2 linked regions of the Astyanax mexicanus genome follow. The protein of the gene in region 1 purifies or fractionates together with the protein of each later gene. This does not show direct contact. Links are inferred from orthologs where the notes say so. Each region holds a gene or a part of one and is shown on either strand. Other genes may lie near its edges. The genes, in order: protein BCCIP homolog and eif6.

Region 1 (7,096 bases):
TGTTATAATTTAAAAGGCCTTTATTTTGAAATGACATATCAAAATGTTCTGTTATTAAGTGAGTGACACATACAAGTAGTGTACTATCAGGACTATATGATATTGACCTGTGATATCAGACAGATTCCTTTTAATAACAGTCTAAACATTGTGTAAAATTACATAAACATTACAATTTAAAGAGCCTTTATTTTGAAATGACACATCAAAATGTTCTGATATTAAGTGAGTGAAACATACAAGTAGTGTACTATCAGGACTATATGAAATTGACCTGTGATAGACAGATTTCTTTTAATAACTGTCTAAACCTAGTGGTAAAATAAAAGATTGTTATAATTTAAAGGGCCCTTATTTTGAAATGACACATCAAAATGTTCTGATATTAAGTGAGTGACACATACAAGTAGTGTACTATCAGGACTATATGAAATTGAACTGTGATATCACACAGATTGTTTTTAATAACAGTCTAAACATTGTGTAAAATTACATAAATGTTACAATTTAAAGGGCCTTTATTTTGAAATGACATCAAAATGTTCTGTTATTAAGTGAGTGACACATACAAGTAGTGTACTATCAGGACTATACAAAATTGAACTGTGATATCACACAGATTTATTTTAAGAACAGTCTAAACATTGTGTAAAATTATATAAATGTTATAATTTAAAGGGCCTTTATTTTGAAATGACACATCAAAATGTTCTGATATTGAGTGATTGAAACATACAAGTAGTGTACTATCAGGACTATATGAAATTGACCTGTGATATCAGACAGATTTATTTTAATAACAGTCTAAACATTGTGTTGAAATAAAATATTGTTATAATTTAAAGGGCCTTTATTTTGAAATGACACATCAAAATGTTCTGATATTACGTGAGTGACACATACAAGTAGTGTACTATCAGGACTATCTGAAATTGAACTGTGATATCAGACAGATTTCTTTTAATAACAGTCTAAACATTGTGTAAAATTACATAAATGTTACAATTTAAATGGCCCTTATTTTGAAATGACACATCAAAATGTTCTGATATTAATTGAGTGAAACATACAAGTTGTGTACTATCAGGACTATATGAAATTGACCTGTGATATCAGACAGATTTATTTTAATAACAGTCTAAACATTGTGTTGAAATAAAATATTGTTATAATTTAAAGGGCCTTTATTTTGAAATGACGCATCAAAATGTTCTGATATTAATTGAGTGAAACATACAAGTAGTGTACTATCAGGACTATATGAAATTGACCTGTGATAGACAGATTTATTTTAATAACAGTCTAAACATTGTGTTGAAATAAAATATTGTTATAATTTAAAGGGCCTTTATTTTGAAATGACACATCAAAATGTTATGATTTTAAGTGAGTGACACATACAAGTAGTGTACTATCAGGACTATCTGAAATTGAACTGTGATATCAGACAGATTTCTTTTAATAACAGTCTAAACATTGTGTAAAATTACATAAATGTTACAATTTAAATGGCCCTTATTTTGAAATGACACATCAAAATGTTCTGATTTTAAGTGAGTGAAACATACAAGTGGTGTACTATCAGGGCTATATAAAATTGAGCTGTGATATCAGACAGATTCCTTTTAATAACAGTCTAAACATTGTTGAAATAAAATATTGTTATAATTTAAAGGGCCTTTATTTTGAAATGACACATCAAAATGTTATGATTTTAAGTGAGTGACACATACAAGTAGTGTACTATCAGGACTATCTGAAATTGAACTGTGATATCAGACAGATTTCTTTTAATAACAGTCTAAACATTGTGTAAAATTACATAAATGTTACAATTTAAATGGCCCTTATTTTGAAATGACACATCAAAATGTTCTGATTTTAAGTGAGTGAAACATACAAGTGGTGTACTATCAGGGCTATATAAAATTGAGCTGTGATATCAGACAGATTCCTTTTAATAACAGTCTAAACATTGTTGAAATAAAATATTGTTATAATTTAAAGGGCCTTTATTTTGAAATGACACATCAAAATGTTATGATTTTAAGTGAGTGACACATACAAGTAGTGTACTATCAGGACTATCTGAAATTGAACTGTGATATCAGACAGATTTCTTTTAATAACAGTCTAAACATTGTGTAAAATTACATAAATGTTACAATTTAAAGGGCCTTTATTTTGAAATGACACATTATAATGCCCTGCTATTAAGTGAGTGACACATACAAGTATTATTAGTAGTAGTAGTATTGTTAGTATTATTATTATTAGTATTATTATTATTTAATTAACATAATTGTTATAATTTACAGGGCTTTTATTTTGTGTACTACCAGGACTACATGAAATTGACATGTGATATCAGACATAACATGTGATATTATGTGGATTCCTTTTAATACCACTCCACAGCATAATGTCATGATATTTTGAAATGTGTTCCTTCTCACGCTTGCCGCAATGTTCAGTGTATGCGCGCTCTAAGAAACAGCGTGGGGGCTAGTTTGACCAAGCGTTTTGAAGTGGGGGCTGGCTTGACCGCAGTCTGACGCAGCGCGCGTCTTTAAAGGACACGGAACTTTCCTGAAGGTTCCGAATCTTTCTGAATCGATTCTGATCGGATTGGATTATCTATTTAACAGTGGAGCTGTGTTTTTTAATATATAAAGTCATATTGTTGAATATTATAGTTATAAAACAGCAACACACACCTTAATATAAAAAAATATATAATTTATAAGTCAAAGTCAAAAGTATAAGTCAAAAATCTGGACACACCATAAAGTCGTTTTAAAATTAAATAATTTAGTAATAAAGTGTTAAACAAACCAGAATATGTTTTATATTTTACATTCTTTAAAGTAGCTCCTCTTGTTTAGATGATCAGTTTTGAACATCTCTGCTGGATTTTCTCAGTCAGTTTTATGAGGTAGAGTCACCTGGAATTCAGGCTTTCAGTTAACAGCTGTGCTGAACTCTTGTGTCTTAATGTGTTTGAGAGCATCAGTTGTAATGTTCTAATCCAGATTATGAGAAGCAACAACTACCCATCAAGTAAAGACAAAAAAAAAATAACAATAAAAAATTAAGGTCAGCCAATTTAAGAACTTTAAAAGTATCCTCAAGTGCAGTTGCACTTGACCTTCAAAAACGTTATGATGAAACTGGCTCTCATCTGGACCGGCCCAGTAAAGGAAGAGCGAGAGTTTTCTCTGTTGTATAAGATTGTATAAGGTTTATCAGTGTTTCCAGCCTCAGAAACCACAGGTTACCAGCACAAGGCCCACACTTGTAAGTTGTGAGTGGTTATCTGGTGAGTGGGGTGAAACACTGGTCAGCATGCTCAGTTTGGAGTTGTTGAAGGTAAAGCTCTTTATTTCCTCCATTAATGCTGTTAAACTCAGAAACTCAGAACATTAAGTTACAATATTCATCTACAATATTCAAAATTACCCTGAGGTATTGTAATGAAAAATACACTATTCTATTATTTTTGTCTCCCTTCCAAAAACAGGAAAATATTAGAATTTAAACAAATATCAAGATTAATGTTGTGATTTGTATTTTTTTTTCAATGATTGACATCACGAATGTAAAAAATATTGAATTTGCAAACAGTGATTATTTTAGTCAAATGTAAATATTTTTTAAACGATTACTGTAATGTGTTCAAATACATAAACATAACATATATAAAATATATTATTGCATTAAAAAACAAAAGACTTTTATTTTGTATTTGCCTCCCTTCAATGGCAACCTTCAGTTCCTGAGCTGAGGAAAAGGCGGCCATGCAGGCTCTGTTTCCGCGGTTCGGCTCGGTATTACCGGGTTGGAGTAAGATCCGGAATGGCGAGCAGCCGCGCGCGGTTTCCTGCCCCTTTAAACCGCGTGTCCGCGGAGCGCGCGGTACTCCTCAGCGGGCTGGAGCTGCGCGAGTGGCGGCATGGCCTCATTTGCGAAGCGGCGCGCGGTAGGAGCGGGAGAGGAGCCGGAGGAGGAGCGGGATTCCGGGGAGAGCGGAGAGGAGGAGAGCGGGGAGTCGGAGGAGGAGGAGGAGATTAATGAGGTGAGGATTAATAAAGAGGAGCGAGTTCTCGGCCTGAGGTTCACCAGCTAAACTCAAGCTGTTCTTCCCCAAACTCTCCGCTCCACCTTAAATCTGCAGTTTTATAGGGGTTGCCGTCTGCATAGGCTCATTACTGTACGATTTAAGGTGGAATTTTGTGTTTTATGAGTAAGCAGCTTCTAACTGGTCAAACAATGCTTATCTCTGGTACAACAGAAAAAAGTCTAGTCTAGAAACTAGCTATGGATATTTGAAGTAACATCGAAGCACTGTTGTAAGTCGCTCTGGATAAAGGCGTCTGCTAAATACCTTAAATGTAAATGTTTCTTTGGTTAAAATGACTCTTTTAGTAAAAAAAAAAAGCTTGGTTCCTTTTATAAAGCAACAAAAAAAGTGTTATTGTTGTTATTAATAATAATAATAATAAATATAATAATAATCATAATCATAATAATAATTATTATTAATATTAATATTATTATTATTAATACAAATAATTAGATTGTCTGCATTGTTTCATATATGCACTGATATAAAACGTTATGAAACATTTCGCCCTTAACTCAGAGCCCCCTGACCCCTAACCTAGAGCCCTGTGAACCCTGACCCCTAACCTAGAGCCCTGTGAACCCTGACCCAGAGCACTTAGTGTTCCATTAACTTTCTTTTCTTCTGTTTTCAGGAGGTTGTTGTGGATTTTGAAGCTCACACTATATCTGATAACGATTTTAATGGGGTTAAGAAGTTGATGCAGCAGGTAACCCAAACGTAGTAACACAACCAGACGTTTATTTAATCTGGAATTAAAAGGAATATGGACCAAAGAAAATTTACTTGAGTGAATCGAGGATTACTGACTATTATTTATATATCTCCAACAGCTTTTCCTGAAGGCACATGTCAACACCTCTGAGCTGACAGACCTCATTATCCAGCAGAATCACATTGGCAGTGTGATCAGGGTGGGTGGACCTGGTATTTTGGGTTAATTATTATTATTTTTTTTTTATTAAATAGTATTAATAGTATAGGAGACAATACTTAACAGCTCTATATGGTGTAGAAAACTAATCATATGTTACATTTGAGTCAAAGGTACACTCATTCTGACACAATTAATATTAGTCTGAGTAACATTTATGTGTCAGATGTACAGTTAGGTCTGTTGGTGCTTGATGTTCTGTAAACCCCCAGCAGGTGGAGTAGTAAGCCAGGTTACCTGTGTGATCTCATCATGTGGGGAAATCAAAATTTTATACTGTGTTTTTTGTTTTCTGTTTTCAGCAAGCCGAGGTGCCGGACGACAGCGACGATGAGGATCCAGATGAGGTGTTTGGATTCATCAGCATCGTCAATCTGACGGAGAGGAAGGTAGAGCACCAGCCCTGAATATCACACACTTGAATAAATAATATATTAGTGCTATAGTGTTGCTAATTAATTGCTATGATCCCATAGTGCATAGGTCGGCAATAGGCGGCCCGCGGGCCAGATGCGGCCCGCAAGCAAGAAACATCTGGCCCGTGAGGTTGAACTATAACGAAAAAAAAAATCGGACTGTCCGTCTCAAAAATGCTCTTTATTTAGAAACTTAATTTTCCAAAACAGAAAAATTTATTAAAGATTTTTTGATAGAGCCACGGGCTGTTAGATAATCCGTGTATCATTCGTTCATTTGATATTCAATTGAGAATCAAAATCGGAAAATTAAAAAACCAATTCGTTTTTTCGTTTTTTCGTTTTTGAATATAATACCAAAAAACGAATAACGGCTTGTATTTTGTATTTTTATTTGGTTATCCAAACAAAAATTGGAAATTTAAAAAACGGACCAGGAGCCGAATTTGATTTTGATTTTGAACTTGACCCATTTGTGTGCCCCGGAAGTTACTGATTTGTTTATTCTTGGTGGGTTTCTGTTGCGCGGGAGTTCACTGCAGTGTTATCTACACAGTCTGTATTGCTGTAGGCTTTGGATGGAGTTGAGGATGGAGAGTTTTATCTTGTTCAGAGGAACTAAACGCGTTGCAGTGAAAGAAGACGATATGACAACAGAAAAAATCGGCAGGATCTTTCAGGTGTTTGTCTAACGTTCCGTAGCTAAATGTCATATTTAGTTAATGTTATTCTGTGAATTGCCGCCTACTAAATATGACATTTAGCTACGGAACGTTAGACAAACACCTGAAAGATCCTGCCGATTTTTTCTGTTGTCATATCGTCTTCTTTCACTGCAACGCGTTTAGTTCCTCTGAACAAGATAAAACTCTCCATCCTCAACGGCCCTCTCCAATTCTGTGTTCGATACATGTCTTTTTCGCTTAAGGTCGTGTTGAACACAGAACCTTCTAACACTTATTGCAGAACATCGCTGGATCCCCATTTGCTGCAACGTGCACGAAATCTCTTCATGCGTCTTACCACCTTCAAAAAGATCTTTAATTAGGCCAGAATGTGGTTCCAGTCCGGCCATGCTGCCTACAGCAATACAGACTGTGTAGATAACACTGCAGTGAACTCCCGCGCAACAGAAACCCACCAAGAATAAACAAATCAGTAACTTCCGGGGCACACAAATGGGTCAAGTTCAAAATCAAAATCAAATTCGGCTCCTGGTCCGTTTTTTAAATTTCCAATTTTTGTTTGGATAACCAAATAAAAATACAAAATACAAGCCGTTATTCGTTTTTTGTTATTATATTCAAAAACGAAAAAACGAAAAAACGAATTGGTTTTTTAATTTTCCGATTTTGATTCTCAATTGAATATCAAATGAACGAATGATACACGGATTTTAGATAACTGCTAGCTTCTTTGTTCTGTTTTTTTTTTTTTTTTTTATTCGTTTGTTTTTTTTTATTTAACAAACAGGTATATCATTAATAGCGCCCCCAATGGTCAGTCCACAGATTTCACCCACATCAGCCCACTTGAATGTCTGCTTGTCATTTTAAGAGCGCCCTCCCGCCACCGCGCCCGCCAAACAACCCCCCCCCCCCGAGTGCTTGTGGCCCGCCATGT
Region 2 (7,587 bases), on another chromosome or scaffold:
TACCCACACACATTCGACCAATTATGCGGCATCCTGCAATGGAAGCATGGACCACTGGGATCGTTTCTGACAATTCACCTTCAAAGACACTGTGAACAAAAACAATTCAGAAAAAAAAGTCAGATTTTCAAAGTGTGTTGAGAAATTCTCATCATACAGTGGTGTGAAAAAAAATCTGTTTGTCACTTTTAAATGTTTCAGATCATTAAAAAAAATGTAAATATCAGTCAAAGACAACACAAGTAAACACAAACTGCAGTTTTTTTAACTAAAGGTTTTTATTAGTAGGGAGACCTTTGTGAAAAGTGTTGTCCCCTAAACTTTATAACTGGCTGTTTCACCCTTAGCAGCAACAACTGCAATCAAACTTTTGCGGTAACTTGCAACGAGTCTTTCACATCTCTGTGGAGGAATTTTGCTCCACTCTTCTTCACACAATTCCACCAACACTGAAGAGTTTTCGAGCATGAGCCGCCTTTTTAAGATCATGCCACAGCATCTCAGTCGGATTCAGGTCAGGAATTCTAGGCCACACCAAAGCCTTCATTTTGTTTTTCTTCAGCCATTCAGAGGTGGACTTGCTGGTGTGTTTTGGATCATTAACCTGCTGCAGAACCCAAGTTCGTTTCAGCTTGAGGTCACGAACAGATGGTCGATATTCTCCTTCAGAATCTTTTGGTATAAAGCGAAATTCATGATTCCATTCATCACAGCAAGTCTTCCAGGCCATGAAGCAGCAAAACAGAGCCAAAGCACCACCATGTTTTACTGTAGGTATGATGTTTTTCTGACTTACCCCAGATATATTTGTACTTTCTTATGGTGGAGTCATGATTACTGACCTTAACTGAGGCAAGTGAAGCCTGCAGTTCTTTGGATGCTGTTGTTGGGTCATCACTGCACTCGGATGTTTACCCTTCGAAAACGCAGTTGCGATGCTGACAGAATATTAAATTGTAACTCCTCTATACCCCTTGAATCATAACCCGCTTTATTATTCTAGATTAACGCTGTTACAGGTTTCACTACACTGTTTTCTGGCCTGTCACAATACTGTCCAAGTATTATTGTTATTTTAAATCATTTACAGTATATTTAAAAAAATAAAAACATCCAGTCCAGACACAATGCTGGACATTTATTTAATTATTTAACTTTAAAACTTATGTTCACTTTTTTATGCCCACAACATGAACACAATTTTAAAAGAGTAACAATTTTTGAAAAAGGACTGCAGTAATTTTCCCCAATAGTCTTACTGAGCTGTATTTGGAATATTTGGGTCTAAGTTTCCACAGACAACTCACCTGTAAAAGTTTTCTGATCCACCTATTGCGACTAGGCAGTATGTGTTGGTGAGTTTGGCGAAACATCCAATTTCATTGTTCTTCTCAAATGAAGCTCGAACTGCCATGTCTGCTTCAAGCTCAAGATGTAATACAGTCTTCAAGTCTGCCAGAACCTGGGGAACAGCAGCAGATTGGTACAATTAGCAGCATTTATGGCAACATTTAAAACAAGAACCTGAATTTTAATTGAATTTGATAATGTACTGTTAGGATTTCAAACAGCACTACAAAATGGCTGACATACTATATAGTGCACTATTTCTTTAACATGAAGCGATTCTGTATTGAACCAAGTTCTGGATTTTGACTCGGCCACTACAATTTCAAAGTCAATGTCTTTCTGTAAAACAGATCTTATTGTTGTTACTGTACAGGCTTATTCGGAATGCCCGCCATGATTTTCAGAAATTTTGCTGCATTCATTTTACCCTGTAGCCATCTCCCCATGATGTGTTTGTTGTGAGGTGCAGTATTCTGTGTCTGCATAATATAACTTTGGGTCTGGAGGCCACAAAGCTTTATTTTAACGTCATCAGACCATAGAACCGTCTTCTGGTTGACTTGTTTATAACTTAATATCTGCTTCTTTAACAGTGGATTTCTCTTTGTAGCTCTTCCATAAAGCTTTGACTGCTGTATTATGTAGACCCTTTAGCATCTCATCTATACATTTTCACTCTTTACTTTTCCCATGCATGGTCAATGGTAACTCATGGCAGATCTAATGTCTCATATTCCTTATATTCCTAATGATGGAATTCACTAAACTTCAGAAGCTGGTCACATGTTAACCATGCTATCCATCTCCCCATGTATGCTCTTCAATAACCTTTATAGCAGTGTGGAGTGTTCTTAAATAAGGTCAGAAGTTAGCATTTGTGCAATTACTTATTTTACAATATGTATTTTTTATTTAATTGGCATTACTATAATAAATATAATAAATAATAAATTTATTATTTATTTGTGTCATAAAAAATACTTTATTTATCCATTATTTAATTCCCCCCAAAAATAGTAGGGGGAAAAATTAAAGAGACTAAATACAAAAATAAGACGTTACAGTATAATGGAACAAACAGATGAAAAGGATAGATGATAGAAGAACAATTAAATCACAGGGCGCTGTAATACTTCCTTTGAAGCAATATTAACGATTACTAGTGAGGATTATCACAGGAACACGTGCTCGTATATCACACAGATTTTTTTTTTAACCTGATTGATTACTTAATGTAATTTTAAATAGTCTCGGGTTACATTAAGCTTAGCAACTCAGAGACCCCAGACTGTTACAGCGGAATTTCTGAGCTGTATTTAACTTTCCTGCTGAACTAGTCTTACCTAACCACAGACTGTAATCTTCAGTAATCTCAAGAGAACACTTTATTATACTTAATAATATTACATTATAATATTATATTATACAACCACATTGTTATTATTATTATTAAGACCGCTGCTGGTTTCAGAGCCGAGCTCATCACGCAGTTAGCCTAGCTAGCGTTCTCTAACTGTTATTATTACGGTGTTGTTAAACTAGTAGTCGAACAGCGGCCGAACAGGCGCGCTTGTTCGGATCATTTACGAGTTTTATAATAAAACATGGCGAAGCGGCGCCGAATTTGTGCCTAAAACAGAAAAAAAGTTAAATTACCAACAACAGCGCGGAGCTCGGAGAACTCAGAAGACCCACGTGTTCACTTCCTTAAAGGCGTGCTGACGTCAGCTCGCAGGATCTCTGTACGTGCGCGCGCCGCCTTGGATGACAGGAGAGCTGGGCCGCTGTTGCTGTGGGGGCAGGTAGTAGTAGCTGCTTTGTATTGTGTGAAATTTCCTCTTAACGCACTTAAAATGCTGCAAGTATGTTTTTGGAGTATATTTACAGTAAATACAAGACATAATTGGAGGCTAATGAATGTGCCGCTGAAAGTTAGCGTTTACGGACAGTGAAAGTTCCGTGCAGCATAAACAGAATGGGTGTCATTTGCTTGTTGTAACTCTTCCAAATTAAACAATTTTTTTTTTTTTTACAAAACTCTGAATCTAATAACACGTATTTAACTGATCAAAACATGTACTGGTTAATCTCAGACGGCATAACTTATTTTTTTCACAAGATTTCTAGTCCGAAGATGGTAAAGCATGTTTAAAAGCAAGTCCACTTATTCCTTAGACTACCTCTCAAGAAAGTGTTGATTTTGAAGAAATGGTTGACCGCATGCCAAAATAATTAATATTTATGACAAAAAAATCAGTTTAAATGCATGCACATTGTATTTTTCTAGAATATGCAAAGCCATTTTTATCTTTTCAAGAAGACACAAACCTGAAATTGATCAAATTTATTTATTATACAATTTATTAAACAAATGATAAACCAAGTATAATTGGAAAAGAGTGGTTTTTACATTAACTAATGTACCATAATAAATCAATAAACCAAGGGACAATACTCATTCATGTTACTGGAACTCGTTCTTGTTCCTGGCACTTACTCCTGTTACTGGCACTCATTCCTGTTACTTTTTATGTTATGAGTAACATGATTGAATCTAACAGGAAATTGTTTTTAGCATAAAATTTGTAAAATTTGAAAAATAGTTCAAGGCAGCTATGATAAAAGCATGAGGACACTGAGCACATTCTAGTGATTTTCACAAAATTAACAATAAACAAATAAGATTTAAGAATTAAGTTAGGTAACAGGATAGGTTAGGGACAGGTAACAAATGCTATTTCTTCAGTGTTCTAAGTAGTTTTTATAAATGTTTTTAATTACATATCTTACTTTTGGTCAATGTGCAAGTCACTATACTATTAACTATAAAGTTATTTTGTGAGCACATTTATACATGTAATTTACTGGGGGCCAGTGGCTTATTTCAAATACATTTCAAAAACATTTGAAAATTCTATGAAAATAAATGTTGAATTGTTTTTAATTTATTGTAATACAATTTTATTAGCTACATTACATCTGTAAAAGTTTGGTTTAGGGTCTTAACAACAACATGCATATAAACGCAGAAATGTGACACAGGATTATAATGCCACATGCCATGTGGTTACTTGCATTTCAAATAACATATGATTATTTGCAATATTCAGTACATTTATATGTTTAAAAAGACATGGCTTTTATGTTATCATTTTGTCATGGAATCTCGAGAAAATCTCGAGTCAATATAAAACAGCCAAAAGGTTCTGATTGATGTGAAATTAGATATTAAATTAATATATTTTTAAGTAATAAAAAACTTTTCTGGCCATCACAGTTTATATACATGCATAGTTACCAAATGTCAAATGTCATTTTAATAATGTTAGAATACGTTTCTGTTCATTTTATAAACCTGTTTTATTGGTTGTATTTTTATTAGTCCATTCTCTAAAGAGTTAAACTGCAGTGGATCTATGAAGGCTGTCCAAGCTACCTTTATTTATATTCCCCTTTTCTGCTCCACCAGCCTGCATAGCAACGGGGCTACCACCAGGCTGATTTGTGAGCCAATCAGGCAGAGCTTCTGTTGTGACGGCTGTGTTGTTTGACGTTTTTATTGGTTGGGTGCTGAGGCACGTCACTGCAGTAGCTGCGCGTCACGCGCGGACTCTCGGCCGTTCCGGCTTCTGCCTGGAAACACCAACAGACCCGCTGGAGCTCGAGGCCTGGAGTCTAGAGCCGGGTAATGATTTAATCACAGCGCGCGCTGCTGTCCCATGTTCACCCATTTACACTCTGACTACACTAAACACACTCAGCACAGCAGAAAGATAGTGTACACTGCTCAGTCATCTTGTGGAATCTTCAGATGTTATTAGCAGATAATTTAACCCTGTTGTGAGGTGAGGCCTAAATGATCATCACTGAAGCTTTTATTCAGTATTTGGGGCACTTTTGATAGGTACTACTGACCACTGCAACCTGGAAACATCCTAAATGACCTGCCTGGGGCCAAATTTCCCTAAAGCCTCTTAACATAATTAAGAATATCTTAACATGGAGAGAGAGAGAGTGTGAGAGTGAGTGAGTGAGTGTAAAGCATGTTTGGCCATTTGGGAAAGCCCATTCCTATTGTTCTAAAGGTGTTCTGATCCAGTTGTCCTAACTGTCACAGTTTAGTTATTGTCAAAAGATCTCAGGTTTTTATGTCTGACAATTTTTTATTTAACACCTCAAATGTAAGCACTGACTGTTCACTTAGGCCCAAGGAAGGGGTGAAATCCTCCCTCTAAGAATCCTTCAAGCACCTGATGCAGATATTTAGCAGTTGAGCAATACAGGTGCAGCTCAAAAAAATAGAATATCATTGAAAAGATACTTTATTTCAGTACTTTAGTTCAAAATGTAAAACACAAGATGTATTACACACAGAGTGATCTATTTTAAGCGTTTGTTTCATTTATTATTGATTTTGGCTTAACACAGTGGACCAACACTAGCAGATAAATTGGCTCTCCAAATAATCACTGATTGTAGAAACTTCACACAAGAACTCAAGCAGCTTGGACAGTGTGCCTCTCCACTCTTCCTCCAGACTCATTTGATTTCTAAATGAAATGCAAAATTTACCTATGGTCAGTGATGGTTTGGAGAGACATGTCATCTGCTGGTGTTGATTCACTGTGTTATATCAAGTCCAAAGTCAGTGCAGTGTCATATAATGGCAGCATAAGCTGTCTTAGAAATTTTAGCTGTTAGTTTCCACTGTAAGGAACATAGTTAGTAAATGCAAGACCACAGGCAAAGTTCTAGTTGAAGCCTGAAGTGGCAGAACAACCAATTATTTATAAAGGAAAATCATGAAAATAATCAGGAGTGCCCGAACTTTTTCATACCACTGTATTTATATTGTACGTACTGTCCCAACCTTTACAGATTTGAGAACTGCAAAAGCTTATTTTATTTTTTACTGTATTATTTTTTACTGTATCTGTATCTAATGGACAATTTATTTTTTAAAATCACCACCCCATTTCAGTCCTGTAATATTTTGAGAAATTAATAAACTTTTTAGATTAGTATTTATTTTTTTTGATACAATAAAAATACTATTAATTGTAACAGTAATTTTACTTCAAATCACAGCTTCACCTAGTGTAATTTAGGCCTTGCAGCAGGCCTCTGAAATTTAGGATACTGTATCAATGTAGACAAGCCTGTAGCTTCTATTTATTTTAGATAGATGGATGGATGGATGGATGGATGGATAGATGGATAGATAGATAGATAGATAGATAGATAGATAGATAGATAGATAGATAGATAGATAGTTTATTTATCCCGAAGGAAATTTAGGCATCCAGCAGCAACAACACAATACAATAAGAAACATACTCAGACAAATCAAAACACAGAAGAATAGAAAATATATAAGGCTATATAAAAAAAAAAACTAACTATACAAGGTAAGGATCTATCTGTAAACGGAGCAGTGCAGTAGATGTTGCTAATGGTCATAAATAATTAAATAATTAACAGAGTAAAGTGCAATGACATCGATTACGAAAGTGACTGATGTGACATAGAAATATAATATAATATAAGTATGCATACGTTACAAGACTAAAAAGAGGATGTGAAAATGTGAATACCCAATCATGAGTAAGGTATACTTTAATGTAAGCGAGGTTGGGGAAGTGTTAATATAAATAATTAAGTTGTTGAATAATGTCCGAGTGGTGTGCCTGGATTAAACTCAGTCGTCAGCAGCATCCCGTCCCCGATGGGAGGAGTTAAAGAGTCTGATGGCTCTCGGAATGAAGGATTTTCTGAGTCTGTCTGTTGTGCAGCTCTGTGACAGCAGTCTGCCACTGAACACACTCCTCTGCTTCATGATGGTGGTGTGAAGTGGGTGACTATCATTGTTCATGATAGAAAGCAGTTTATCCAAAGTCCTTCTCTCAGCTATTGTAACCAGAGAGTCCAGCTCCATTCCAACCACTGCCCCGGCCCTCCTGACCAGCTTGTCCAGCCGTGATGCATCTCTCCTCTTCATGTTGCCTCCCCAGCACACCACAGCGTAGAAGAGAATGCTGGCCACGATTGATTGGTAGAACATCTGCAGAAGCTTCTTACAGATGTTAAAGGACCGCAGTCTCCTCAAGAAATCTAGCCAGTTAGCTTTTCTATATCTTTCTTATGTTGCTTATGTAATGTACATATGTGTTTCTATGTATAATATTTTAGTACCTTAAATGTTTTTTTAACTAAAAAGGCAGCAGTCATTCAGACTAG

What was found.
Region 2: the proteins of protein BCCIP homolog (region 1) and eif6 purify together in Homo sapiens (affinity purification with mass spectrometry; 3 studies listed by BioGRID and IntAct, counting the BioPlex papers as one, with this or other methods). This does not show direct contact. The link is inferred for Astyanax mexicanus from reciprocal best matches to the Homo sapiens genes BCCIP and EIF6.

The regions. Positions count from the first base shown.
Region 1 is NC_064422.1:13,962,478-13,969,573, reverse strand, and holds the start of protein BCCIP homolog, read left to right. Parts: upstream 1-3,869; 5' UTR 3,870-3,952; coding exon 3,953-4,075; intron 4,076-4,757; coding exon 4,758-4,832; intron 4,833-4,956; coding exon 4,957-5,037; intron 5,038-5,359; coding exon 5,360-5,446; intron 5,447-7,096. UniProt on the Homo sapiens protein: During interphase, required for microtubule organizing and anchoring activities. During mitosis, required for the organization and stabilization of the spindle pole.
Region 2 is NC_064412.1:44,150,835-44,158,421, reverse strand, and holds the start of eif6 (eukaryotic translation initiation factor 6), read right to left. Parts: upstream 3,094-7,587; 5' UTR 3,007-3,093; intron 1,463-3,006; 5' UTR 1,415-1,462; coding exon 1,308-1,414; intron 90-1,307; coding exon 4-89; intron 1-3. UniProt on the Homo sapiens protein: Binds to the 60S ribosomal subunit and prevents its association with the 40S ribosomal subunit to form the 80S initiation complex in the cytoplasm. Behaves as a stimulatory translation initiation factor downstream insulin/growth factors.